3 linked regions of the Coturnix japonica genome follow. The protein of the gene in region 3 purifies or fractionates together with the protein of the main gene of each other region. This does not show direct contact. Links are inferred from orthologs where the notes say so. Each region holds a gene or a part of one and is shown on either strand. Other genes may lie near its edges.

Region 1 (4,214 bases), about 97 Mb from region 3:
ATGCAGCCCACCCTGCCCTGAAGGAAACAACAGGCAGAAGATAAAGATACAGGCCTACCAGCTTCACGGAGCAGGAAGCGTGTTTCTTTGGATCTCCCACAGACTCCATTGAGTAATTACTACTGCCAGTGGGGAGAGGCTTCTTGATGGTAGGGACGGTGAGCCACCAAGAGAGACTAAGAAATCCCAATTTCTGCAGATAAAGGACAAACTGGACAATCAAGTGACCGGAGTGCCTATGGACAGCTGATCCTGCCTTGGGGGATACAACCTACATCAGGGAATGGCAAAACTCTTAGGGTTACAGTGGCAAGCTGTATTTTTATTTCTTAAAATAGAGCAGAAATTTGAGAATTGGGAGATAGTTCCACCCAAGGAGGCCAAATGCTGACAAGCTTATCAGCTGGTATGAGGGCTGTATTTAAGGAGCTCTCACAGGTCCCTCTCTTAAGATGGCTTGGCTTCAATTTCCAACAATCAGAATGGGTCCCTGTGCACGTTCTCTGGCAGGTTTCTGATTGCAGGTTAGTTAAAACACGTTCTCCTCATATCTGTGTCCGCTGTGGAGTCGCAGCAAACTGACGTTTGGAGTTGTAATCTGTTCTCATTCTGAAACGTGCTCAATTCTTGTTTGCAGAGAAGCTGCTGCTACCATGTCCCACAAGGAAGGAAGGATGGGGAGATGGGGCCATGGCGGCTATCAGTGCAGGGCAATGCGTGGCCGTGGTACCCACAGCAATGAGTGGGGCAGACACAGAGGAGGAAGTTTTTCACACAGAGGGTTGTGACGCACTGGAACAGGTGGTTGTGGATGCCCCATCCCTGGAGGGCTGGCTGGATGTGGCTCTGGGCAGCCTGGTCTGGTGGTTGGTGACCCTGCACATAGCAGGGGGGTTGAAACCAGATGATCATTGTGGTCCTTTTCAACCCAGGCCATTCTATGGCTCTATGATTCTACCATCCAGTCCAACTATGAGCCCATGCCTGCTGACCACATCTCTCAGTGCCACATCCACACAGCTCCTCAACACCGCGTACCCCGGTGGCGCAGTGGTAGGAATGCCGCGTTGCAACACCAAAGGCGCTGGGTTCGAATCCCCCTGTGGCGCAAGTGGTAGAAGTGCCGCTCTGCTACACAGAGACTCGAATCCCGGGGGTTCGACTCGATGATCTCTAAGGTCCCTTCCAACCCGCACCAGACTGTGATACTGTGATGATGATGACACCTCCAGGGACGATGCCTCCATGGCTGCCGTGCTCCCCAGCTGTGCCCATCCCCACCCGCCATGTGCCGGTCACCGCACTGATGGCCGCACACCACGTGCCCGCCCGAACATCAACCTGGCGCCGCCGCTTCCCGCCGCCAGCGTTGCAGGGCGGGGAGTCGGAAAGCGCGAAAATCCCGCGCATGCTCCCTCCGCCCCCGCCGTGCCGGCCGGTTGGCTGCTGCGCTCCGCGTGTGCCCGTGCAAGGCACGCTACACCCCGTGACGTCAGCGCGCAGCGTCACGCCGGTGGGACGCACAAAAGTGTAAGTTTCAATTTTTTTTTTTCGGGCTCCCCCTCATTCCCCGGTTCACCGGCGCTGTCCCCCCCCCCAAATCCCCACGGGGAATAGAACGAAAGGGAAGAGAGAGAAAGCGGACGGTGGGATCGCGGGCAGGGACAGCCGCTTTAGTTCACCCCCCCCCCCCCCCCCCTTTCCCCGCTGCCGCCCCCCGTGCAGGTGTGCTCTGGCCGCACGGTGACAGCCCGCACGCCGCCCCCCCACACCCCGCCGTGCCGGCACGGAGCGCGTCCAGCCGCCCCCCCCCATATATACACACACATTGCGGCCGTTGGGCGCCCGCTCCCTCCCTCCGCCCCTGCCCCCTCCCGCCGGGCTCGCGGGCCCGCGCGCGCCGCCCGCCCGCCGCACATGTGCAGTCGGGCGCCTCCGCAGCGGCAGCTCGGCGCCGGGACACGGGCTGGGGGGACAGCGGCGGCGGGGGATGGAGCCGGCGATCTCCGCATTGGGCCGCTCAGGTGCGAGCGGCTGCGGCCCCAGGATACGGAGGGAAGGATGGGAGGCGCCCGCGGAGCCGCCATCGGCGTGGCCACCCGCCGCTGAGCGGAGGCCCCGGCGGCTGCGGTCTCCGGCTGCGGGCGGGAAGGGAGGGGGGCGGCCCAGAGGCCTGCGTGTGCCCGCCGACGGGATGGGGCCCGCCCGAGCGTGCCGTGCAACCCCCACCACAAGCCGTGAGGGTGGGCGGCGGGGCGTCGCTCCCACGTGCTGGCTGTGAGCGGGGGCGTCGCTTCGATAGAACGGGGCATGGGGGGGAACTTTGCGCTCTCCCATAGGGTTCTGTTCTGAAGCACAACGGGAATCGGGGCGGTGCAAAGTTTGCCTCGTCTCATTGTGGAGAGCTGACTGATGGTGGTTGTGTTTGCTTTCTAGAGAATAGCATCGTCGTCCCAGCGTCCCGCAGGCAGCAGGATTGTAAGAGGATTGCCTGCTAGGCTGGGGTAACATGGCAAAAGATGTAAGTATATTTATAGCGCATCACATGCAGGGGCATAGCTAATAGCATATTTTTGCTTTTGTTTTTGCTAACGGAAGCAAAGCAGGTCAGGCTCTGGTATAGCTGGCAGTGCAAACGTGTGAACCTGACTGTGCTGTACCCCAGGCCTGGGCTGTGCTTCACTATATGGATGGTCCGACCCCAAACCAGCTTCAGGTCTGCAGCAGGTTCCTCAAAGTAGCCCTTGGAATCTACTGTCGTCATAAAAGCTCTCTGGTCATTGGCATTAGATGTGTTCACATTGAACACCACCCCAGGTTGGCTTTGACGTGGGTTCAGAAAGCCCTAGAATACACCGTTCAGATGCTGGGGTGGTTGGTGGCTCTGTCCTGTTATCTCCAGAAGTCACCAGCTGAGTGTCACTGCTGGCTGGTGCTGCCTCTGCTGCTTGGTGTGTTCGGGGTAGCAAAGCCTCCTTATCTCCTCACTCTTTCTTCCCTGTCCATTCAAAGATGCTGATTACTGCTTGTAAAAGCAAGCATTGGGAGCTTGCAGCATACACTTCCACTGCCATCCTTGCCATGACTGGTGGCCTTGAGGCAGGCCTCAGAAACACCTTTGCTCTTATCCATTCCAGTATTCTTTTAAGAACCATTTGAACAGGTTCCGCCTTTCAGATCTATTTCATTGCTTGTAGCTAATGTAATTGGACTGCCACGGTTCTATATTGAGAAGGAGAGAATGGAGAGCTCTGTATTCAAACTTGAATGCATCTCCCCCCCACCCCCCCCAAAAAGGACAACAAAATAGCAAACAAGTCACAAAGCAATTCCAGTTCTAAACAGCAGGTTACGTTATTGTGTGAACTGTTGTAGCTTTCGGAGAGTGAGAATTACTGTGAAATAGTGATTGGTTTAACAAATTAATCTTGTAGGGAATTTTAGGAGTTCAGAAGCATATGGAAAGTATCTCGGTGTGCAGAAACGCAACCAGAAATACGTAGTCACTGCACGCTCGCCTGTAAAAGATAAGGGCGTTCAAGTGCGCTACAGATAGCAGAGTTCAGGGAATGAAGGGCTGTACGAGCAGGGAAAAAAATGGAAGAGGAGGGGTGGAAGAGGAGGTGAAATAAGCGGCAGCTCAGAGTAATTCATATGTTAGGATACATCCATTTCGTACTGCCATTTGGAAGGAGATGGGCTGAGTGAAGGACTGGCACCTGGAAGTTAGATCGGTGTCGTATAATGTGTGTGGGGACATAATGGGGGTAAGGCATCTAAGAAAGAACCTAATTGGAGAGATCCATTTTGCTGTAGGAGGGGAGTAGTTAAGGGAGGAATAACATGCGCAACAACAAACTTCAGAAATGGAAGAAGATGCTACAGGTGGGAACGAATAGGTGTTTTCAGTGTCTTCTAAGAGCAGATCAAGAAGTAATAAACTGAATTTGGAGGAGCAGTAATCCGGCTCAGGTTGTAGGTGACATGTTAAGCATGCTTGAACACTGGGACAGGGTAGGGAGAAAGTGTATGAGGTCTTAACTGAAGAACTGTGTAACCCGTTTTCAGAAGCCTTTGCATATATGTAAAATCCTGTTTGAGGGAAGAAAGATGAACCGCATTAATGGCCCGCGGTTCTGCTGTGTCACCTATCGAGCGCTCTAACGGTCTGCAAGATGTGGTGAATAACATGGCATAGTTGATGAATGCCCCCA
Region 2 (4,208 bases), on a different chromosome or scaffold from region 3:
GCTTCAAACCCCCAACAAGCTCCATCCTAAAATGGCTCAGGTTTTGAGACGCTCACCTTCCCTCTCCCTATCCCTACCAATGCAGCACAGGCCACTCACCCACCCAACACCACCACCCTCCATCAGCCAGGCAGGAGCCGACGGGCACCAACACACTTCAGCAACCCCCAAGCCGAGCTCTGGGCAGGGATGAGAGCTGCACAGCACCATCAAGCAAAGCCCCGGCGAGCCGCGATGCACGGCACTGACAGCAGCGGGGCTGTGAATTGCAGAGAGCTCCCCCGGGTGAGCAGCAGCCCCGCAGAGCCCCGCGCTGAGCTTTGGGTTGCGGCAGTTCAAAGTTGGTGCGACGCAGACAAAGGGATGCAGCCAGATGGGGGCCGAGCACAGTGAAACGCTGCATAACTGGGACAGCAGCACGGAGGGAGGGAAGGGAAGAGGGAAAAGAGAAAAGGGAAAGAGCTTTTCCCATCTGAGCGCGCTGCACGAGTCCGGCACATCCCTCTGCAGCACGAGAGCAGGAGGACGCAGCTGCTGGTACCGGGAGCGCTGCGCGGCACGGCTGGCCAGGGGGCACTGTGGGCGGCCGGCAGGATGCACTTTGACCCTGGAAACACACCCAGGGAGACACCTTTGGAACACGATCCGGGAGAGGAGCAAAATGCTACTTTTTGCCACCCCGATGACTCAAAAACGTAAAGCAGTCCTGGATGGGGGGAACCCAGGCGGGACTCGCTGCCTGCGCTGCGCTCACCGCGAGCTGCTGCCGCCAATGAGAGCCAGAGCAGAGGGGCTGCCCCTCGGTGGGGCACGGAAGGGCCGGGAGGAAGCGATGTGCATCCACAGGGATGGCCTCACTCACTCCGGAGAGTTTGTTCACTTTGGCAATCTTCGTTGCCATTAGAAACAGGGGCGAGAAATTGTATTTGTTTTTAGCTGCGATCGTCAGGCATCCATTTGAGGTGCAGAGGTCCGGAGCCAAAGCTGCCCCCGACACCCCAGAGGGGATTCAGCCCTGAGCAGGAGCTCAGAAAAAAAACCCTTTCCAGAGGACTGCGTGCAAAAAGAATGTTAAAAGTAAAACCAATCGTGACGGTCATCTCTACGTGGGGCATCCAGGGGAAAAAAAATAGGTGAGAAAAGCAACAAATTGCAGCAGCAGCAGCGTGGCACCAGCAGCCAGCAGGGATCGGCCCCAACCCGGCTCGGTGGGCACAAAGTACTGAGTGCAGCCCCGACCCCGCCGTGTTTGGGATCCCCCCGGGGCTGCGTGGAGCCCCGGAGCGCTGCGGTGCTGAGCCAGGCTTTGCCCAACGCATTTGCTTAAGCTGCTTTAAAGACACAGCAGCACCGCGAGTAATTATAGATACTCGGCGCGATGAATTGGGAAGGAAAAGGGGGAAAAAAAATAAAAAATAAAGAGAGGAAAAAGAGAAAATCCATCCTCGGGTGGAATAAAAATAAAGTTTGCTGCACGTCGGTTCCTGCAAGACACGGACAACAGCGAGCATCGCGCCGCACCCGCGGCAGGAGCGGGTCTTTAAAGGGACGGGGAGAGAAAACGGCACGAAGGGGGTGGGGGATATCTGCAAAGAGACGTTAACAGGCCCACGTTGTGCACGGCGCGGAGAGCGGGGAGCAGCCCGGCCCTGCAGCGCGGAGCCGCGGCCTCGGGGAGAGCCGACGCGGTGACAGCGATGCGGGACGCGGGGATGGCGGCGCTCGGGGGCCGCGCGGGGCGACGTCCCGGCCGTGTCCCCGCCGAGAACGGCGCTCGTTGGGAGCGGATGCTCGGAGGGAGCACGAACGGTGGTGCCCTTCCCCGAGGGCTGCGCTCGGGCGAGGAAGGCGGGGAGAGCCCTCCGAGCGGCGCTCGGGATGCCGGCCGCACACACGGCGCCGGAGCTCCGCGCAGCCCTCCCGGCAGGAAGCGCCGCTCCGGTCCCGCCGCCGCCGCGCACCTCGGGCACGGCCCCTCCCGCCCGGAGCCGCGGGGCCGCAGCGGGGGCAGCGCCGAGGCTCGGCCCCCACCCGCCCCACCCCGCACCGCCCCGCACCGCCCCGCTGCTGGGGGGGAGCAGGGAGGGAGGGGGGGTCCGCCCGGGCACCCCTCGGCCCAGACCCCGCCGCCGTTCAACAGTTGTTCCGCGGGGCAGCCCCGGACGTGGGGCGCTGTCCCCGGGGAGGGCCCTTCCGCCACCGAGCGGGGCCGACACCGGGACTTTCCTCCGCGGCGGGCGCGGGCCACGCCGCCAAACTCCGCGCGGAGCGGCCGCCGTCCCACCGCCACCGACCGCACCGCACCGCGAGCGCCGCGCCCCGCCCCGCTCGGCCCCGGGACCCCCCGGCAGCGGCAGGTGCCGCCGGTGCCGGTGTCGGTGTCGGTGCCGGAGCCTCCGCGCGGGGTCGGGCAGCGGCACGCGGCGCCGTCGCGGGGCACACGGAACGGAGCGGCACCGGCACCGCCGCTGTCACCGCGCGCCGCCCCCGCCCGCCGTCCGAGCGGGACGCCGCCTCCCCCCCGCACCGCCCCCCCCCAGGCCGGTACCCCCCCCCACCGCCCGCCGTCCCGGGACCGGTTTTCCATGGAGACCCCCGTCCGAGGGCCGCTCGGGGCCGTCCGCTCGCCGCCGTCCGCCCGGCCCCGGCGGTGGGTGCGGAGCGACCGGGCCCGGGGTTACCCGTGAGAGCGGGGCCGGGCGTCCGGAGCGGGGCGGCGGAGCCGGAGAGACGGAGGAGGGGAAGGGGGGGGGGGGGGGGCGGTTGTGTGGCCGGGCGCGCACCTGTTTCCCTCGACGAGGCGGACGGCGGAGCGGGGAGCGCGGCGGGGCGAGGCGGGCCCCTGCCCGGAGCGGGCGGCGGATCGGACCGCGGCGCGGCGAGCGGCGGTTCGGCGGCGGCGGAGACACTGGCAGCGGCAGCCGGAGTGTGAGGGCGAGAGCGAGCCGCCGCCGCCGCGGGGGATGACGGGAGCCGTAGTCCGCCCGCCGCGCCCCGCCGCCCGCCGCGCCGCCCCGCGGACTGCAGCTCCCGGCGTGCCCCGCGCCCGCCCTGCCCGCGATGGGGGGGGGGGCGCTGTGCGGAGCCGGCCGAGTCCGGAGAGAGGGAACGGGCGGCGGGAGGGAGCGAGCCGGGAGGAGGGGGAACGAGCACGGCACGGCACGAGGGGGGAGGAGGGAGCGGGAGGAGGGACGGAGATCGGGGGGGGCTGAGGGGGGGGGGGTCACTCCCCGGCTGGGAGGGGCCGCTCCGCACCCACGGGCGGGTGGAGGCGCGGGGGAAGCGCACGCACAGCGCGCACCGCACACCCGCACCGAGCCGGGGCACCGGTGCCCGCACCCGCAGGGGGAGGGAGCGGGGGGTGGGTGCGGGGAGGGAGGAGGAGGAGGAGGAGGAGCGGGCGGAGGCCGGGAGCTGCACAGCGGGCAGTGCTGGACGGGCACACGGCGAGCGCGGAACCCGCACCGCTCCGCTCCGCTCCGCACCGCGCACCTCCGCCGCCCGCAGCCCCGCGGCGGAACGGGCGTGGAGTGTCCGAGCGGCCCCGCCCCGCCCCGCCCCGCCGGGACGACGTGGGCTCGGGCAGCGCGGCCCCGGGGCGGCGGCGGACATGGCGCTCGGGTGTCGCCCCCCGCCCCACCCGGGGTTCGCCCCGCGGAGGTCCCCGCTGTTCCCCGGCCCCGCGGCAGCGCCGTGCGGGAGAACGGCGGAAAGGACGGCGGCGGCGGGGCGGTGCGGAGCGCCTCGCGGTGTGCGAGGACCGAGAGAGGAGGAGGAGGGCGGCCGAGGCCTCGGGGCTGCGCTCTGCTACTCGGGAGGGCACTGAGCCCGAGAAGGCCCGGAGGGAGGGAACTGCTCCCGCGGGGTGGGATGACGCGGGTTCTGCCCCGCACCGCAACACCCCGCCGCCTCCGGGCCGTGCGCGGCCCCGTGCGCTGCGGCCGAACGGAGCCGGGACTCCAGGTTGGGAGGCCGGAGCTGCCCCCGCGCTCCCGAAGCGCTGCCCTATTTGCGTGGCGGTGCCGTTAACGCCGTCGCGGTTTGCGGCTCTCCGTCCCGCAGCGCTCGGGGTGCGTGGGGCGGCCCCCAGCAGAGCTCTGCTCCCGCTGCCTGGCGCTGGAATTGGCCCACGCTTCGGTATCTCCGGGCTGGGAGAATCGACACCCGGGAGCTCGGCGCTGCTGAAAAATTCCGCGGCTCTTCCGCAT
Region 3 (4,001 bases):
AAACTGCAGCCTGTACAAGTGTTAGTACTTAAGCATTAGTACTTTTACATACATGTAGATGTTCCACATAATGGATCTTTCATTGCTTCTACAAGAAGATGTCAAGCCCTTTACCCACGTTTTCCACTCCTTCATCACTTCCCAATATTTCTAGCTGAAATTCTTTACAAACTTTGCCTTCGGAAACGAGAAGTTTCTCTATTATCCACTCGCTAAATTTCTAAAGATGCCCCAACAACTCCAGCTGTGCTTGTTCACACACTCGGGTGAATCACCCCTTGGGGCACGTTTTGTTCTCAAAACCCCGCCGTTCCTACGCAAAGGCGATGCAGCAAAACCAGCTGTGGTCACTGCGATGCTGACCACCTCATTGTCTGCTCGCACTCTGCCATCTACCTGTACCGAACCGCCTTTGTTACACACTCCGGACATGTGCTCTTTGTTCTGTTTGCGCAGCATCCTGCAAAATGGCACCCTGCCCTGTGCCCGGGGCTGCTGCGTGCGGAGATAGCGCAGGTACACGACCGCTGTGCGCCACAGCACACAGCACACAGCAGTGTTTGAAGCGCAGTACTGCACATGGATACAGGCAGCATCGTGGGGCGGACAGGCCGGGTCGCACCGGAGGTTTCTAAGCAGAACCCCACTTAGCGCTCGGTTGGTTCCGCACAGCTCGGCCTGCACGGTATCTTCGGGAGCAGAGCGAAGCAGGATTACCACGGGAAAAGCCCGTTCCTAAGGGCAGAGCTGCACGGGCTGTACAAACACCTCACCTCTCTCTCGGAGGCCGTACCCCGGGCTCAGCCCTTCTGCAGGCGGCCGAGGGCTGCTCTCCACACCGACTGACGGCGGCCCGGCCCCGCACAGCCGCGCTCTGCCCGGCAGCGGCCTCCGCCCCGCGCTGGGCCTCTGCGAGCCGAACGCCGCGGCCCCGTTCCCGTCAGCCGGACAATGGCCGCAGGACGCCCCGCCGCTGCCGGCCCCGGGCACGGCCGCGCCGCCTCCTCTCCCCTGTCGTCTCCTCTCGTCTCCTTTCCCCTCCCCTACGGCCGCCCCCAGCAGCCCCCGCGTTGCCCCGGTCCCGCCGCCTCCCGGCCCGCAGCGCCCGATCCCCGGCGCTCTCCAGCCGCGAACCTGCCGCCGTGCGCGGCCCGCCGGGCTCCGCGGCCTGCGGGCGGCCGCTGGTTGGCGGCGGGGGGACACGTGAGGGAGGAGGGGGCAGCGGCGGCGGCAGGAGTTTCCCCGACAGCTGGAGGTTGCGGCGGTGGCTCCTCCTCCGCGGGTCCCCGTTAGAGGCGAGAGACCCCCGCGCTCCTCCTTATTGACAAATACACAAAGGGCCGCGCCGGGGCCGGGCCGGGGACGCGTGTGGAGGCGGCATGGGAGACAAGAAGAGCCCGACCAGGTAGGGCAGCGCCGCCGCCTTCCCGGGGCCCGCTCGGGTGCGCGGGGCCGGCGGCGATGGCGCCCGGGGGGGGGGCCGGTGTCGGGCGGCGCGCCCCGACCGTGCCCCGCGTGTGCTGTGTCTCCGCAGGCCGAAGCGGCAGCCGAAACCCTCCTCGGACGAGGGCTACTGGGACTGCAGCGTCTGCACCTTCCGCAACAGCGCCGAGGCCTTCAAGTGCATGATGTGCGACGTGAGAAAGGGCACCTCCACACGGTGAGTCCCCGCCGGCGGCCCCCGGTTCGCGAGGCGGCGGCCCTGACGGTAGCGGGGCCGCGTTCGGCGGGGGGGGGAACCGGGCCGGGCCGGGGGGTTCCCTCCCCACAGCGATCCGTGCACCAGCGGCGTCCCACGAGGAGCTGCTCTATGCCAGCCGTCAGAAGGTGCACGGTGACCTACCTGCTCCCTGCCCCTCCTGACACCGGGCCAGCGGGGGCTTCACACGGCCAGCGGGAGTGCTGGCCGGGGAGAGCATTATTAAAGGATCCTTTGTTAGTGTATGGAGCTTATGGCTTAATGCTGTCAGCCGGAGAAGTTTGAGTGGCAATAAAAGTTGCGATCCTATGATGAGCAGCAATTGCGTTTTAGATAGCATTCATAACAGCGCTGAATGTGACTCGCAGCAAACGTTACACATTTGTAAGTGCAGATGCGTGGTGAGAATGATGCGTCTCTATTTCTGAAGTTGATTTCCTGGAGTTCTGCGAACTGGAGCATGTGTCGGAAGTGCTCATAACTTCAGCTTCGAATATGTATATGTGTATATCATAAATAAGGCAATCAGTGAGGTAAATGTGCCGAGAGGAATTGCATCTGTCACATACAGCGTGCTTTCCAGCGATAAGTGTGGCGTTCTGTTGTATCGCAGGTAGATGTGCTCCAGCTGGTCACGTTCAGCAAAATAAAGGGATGATTGTAAGTTTGGGAAGGCAGCACGGCTGGAGGCTGCAGCCATCCTCAGCCTCCGGCCAGTCTGATAGACAAAGTGACTTCAGATTCCACTGATCCTGAAACTCAGTTGATGAAAGCACTAAGACGAAACAAACAATCAAGCAGGTCCTGAGATACCTGTGTCACCATTGCTTTTTTCCCCCTCCTTCTTGAATACTTTATAGGTTTTGGACTGTGACATAAATTGAACGTATTTTAGGAACGATTATTTTTTCTTTCCTCTTTCTCCCTCACAGCGTTGTGATATGCAGAGTTTTAGCTGATACCGTCATTTTTATTTCTCTGCTTAAACTCTGAAGTGATGGGGTTTGTGGATGTCATTTTCCCATTCAGTTTAAATGGGTCATGTTTTCATGTAGGTGCAAAGTCTGGGGTTATCAGATAGATGTTGGGGGGTGGGGTGGGCTCGAATGGGCAGTTTTAGGTCCAGCTCTGAGCTGAGATGTGAGCTGGTGAGTAGACCTTTGTATCTATGGAGAGAAGAATCCTTAGGGTGCCAAGGAGACACAAAAGGCTGTTTGGGTGGATTGATTGATTGATTGATTTAAAGGAAATGAAGTCCAAGGCACCAAATTGGGGCCCTATTAAACCATTTAGTCGTACCACCCTTAGAATTAGACATTTTTGTTGGCGTTGTTCACAGTCACAATACCGTGCAGTTCTGATGGCACTGGGAATGTTGGGGGATTTTTTTGTCTTCCATTTTGAATCTTAATGTTTGTATGTATGAAGCCGATGCCTCAGCACAGTTCTTAAGTGTGCATTGGTTCTTACTTCCAAATTCCTGCTTTTTTCTTCTTTAAATCAATGAAATCTATGTCTACTAGACATAGTAGCCCCTATGTGATGTAAGCAGTGATGTAAAGCACCTTTTTTTAGTTCAGAGAAATCTGTTTCTTTGTGATGAACTGTTTGATGTCTGCTTCTGAGTGTTAAAATTCTCTAAATGTGAACAGATTTGCAGATAGAGAACCAGGCAATCACAGTCAAGTGAAATGCTTTTGAAGGCCACTGCAAATTAGGTTAAGTTGATTGTAACTCGCGTGTTTTTATGCTAATTGTGTACAATTAATTTCACAGAATCTTACTCAGGTGCAAATTTAGAGTCAGATTTATGTGTGTTTTTACTGTTGAACCATTTTCCTCTCTCCAGAAGAATAACCTTTGATGCTAAGGGCAACATATGGATTATGAACTTTAAAACTGGTGGCGTTGTTAAGGGTAGTGGGAATAATTCTTACGACTCCTCAGTCATATTTTATTATACTTCTGGAGGGAGCTCTCAGTCATGGACTTGAATTAACTTGTTCCATGGTAGTGTCACCGTGGATGATTAAACCAGGTTGTTCTTGGACAGGAGACATCCAAGAGAAATCCTGGATGCAGCAAGAAGGGACATAACAGACTCCCAAGGTGGCACTGTTTTCTTTGGGTTTATAATGAACCAGTGCCCAGCATGGAGCCAGTTAGATGTGCTGTGAGTCAGGTGGGAAGCTGACATCCCATCTGCCGGTTGGAAATCCCTGTGTGTTTTGCTGTTTGCTCGACTGAAGACCTAAATTTTCCTGTAGACATGGCTTTCTTATTTACTTTCTAGACTAAATTG

Evidence for each region.
Region 1: the proteins of YAF2 (region 3) and TFDP1 purify together in Homo sapiens (affinity purification with mass spectrometry; 3 studies listed by BioGRID and IntAct, counting the BioPlex papers as one, with this or other methods). This does not show direct contact. The link is inferred for Coturnix japonica from reciprocal best matches to the Homo sapiens genes YAF2 and TFDP1.
Region 2: the proteins of YAF2 (region 3) and BCORL1 purify together in Homo sapiens (affinity purification with mass spectrometry; 5 studies listed by BioGRID and IntAct, counting the BioPlex papers as one, with this or other methods). This does not show direct contact. The link is inferred for Coturnix japonica from reciprocal best matches to the Homo sapiens genes YAF2 and BCORL1.

The regions. Positions count from the first base shown.
Region 1 is NC_029516.1:123,726,482-123,730,695, reverse strand, and holds the start of TFDP1 (transcription factor Dp-1), read left to right. Parts: upstream 1-1,414; 5' UTR 1,415-1,530; intron 1,531-1,896; exon of another isoform or gene 1,897-2,024; intron 2,025-2,436; 5' UTR 2,437-2,509; coding exon 2,510-2,521; intron 2,522-4,214. UniProt on the Homo sapiens protein: Can stimulate E2F-dependent transcription.
Region 2 is NC_029519.1:1,564,698-1,568,905, forward strand, and holds the start of BCORL1 (BCL-6 corepressor-like protein 1), read right to left. Parts: upstream 2,801-4,208; 5' UTR 2,784-2,800; intron 2,684-2,783; coding exon of another isoform or gene 2,157-2,683; intron 2,019-2,156; coding exon of another isoform or gene 1,698-2,018; intron 1-1,697. Other genes in the region: translation initiation factor IF-2-like, read left to right, coding at 1,698-2,018, 2,157-2,683, 2,801-3,212. UniProt on the Homo sapiens protein: Transcriptional corepressor. May specifically inhibit gene expression when recruited to promoter regions by sequence-specific DNA-binding proteins such as BCL6.
Region 3 is NC_029516.1:26,706,527-26,710,527, reverse strand, and holds the start of YAF2 (YY1-associated factor 2), read left to right. Parts: upstream 1-1,201; 5' UTR 1,202-1,379; coding exon 1,380-1,405; intron 1,406-1,534; coding exon 1,535-1,660; intron 1,661-4,001. UniProt on the Homo sapiens protein: Binds to MYC and inhibits MYC-mediated transactivation. Also binds to MYCN and enhances MYCN-dependent transcriptional activation. Increases calpain 2-mediated proteolysis of YY1 in vitro.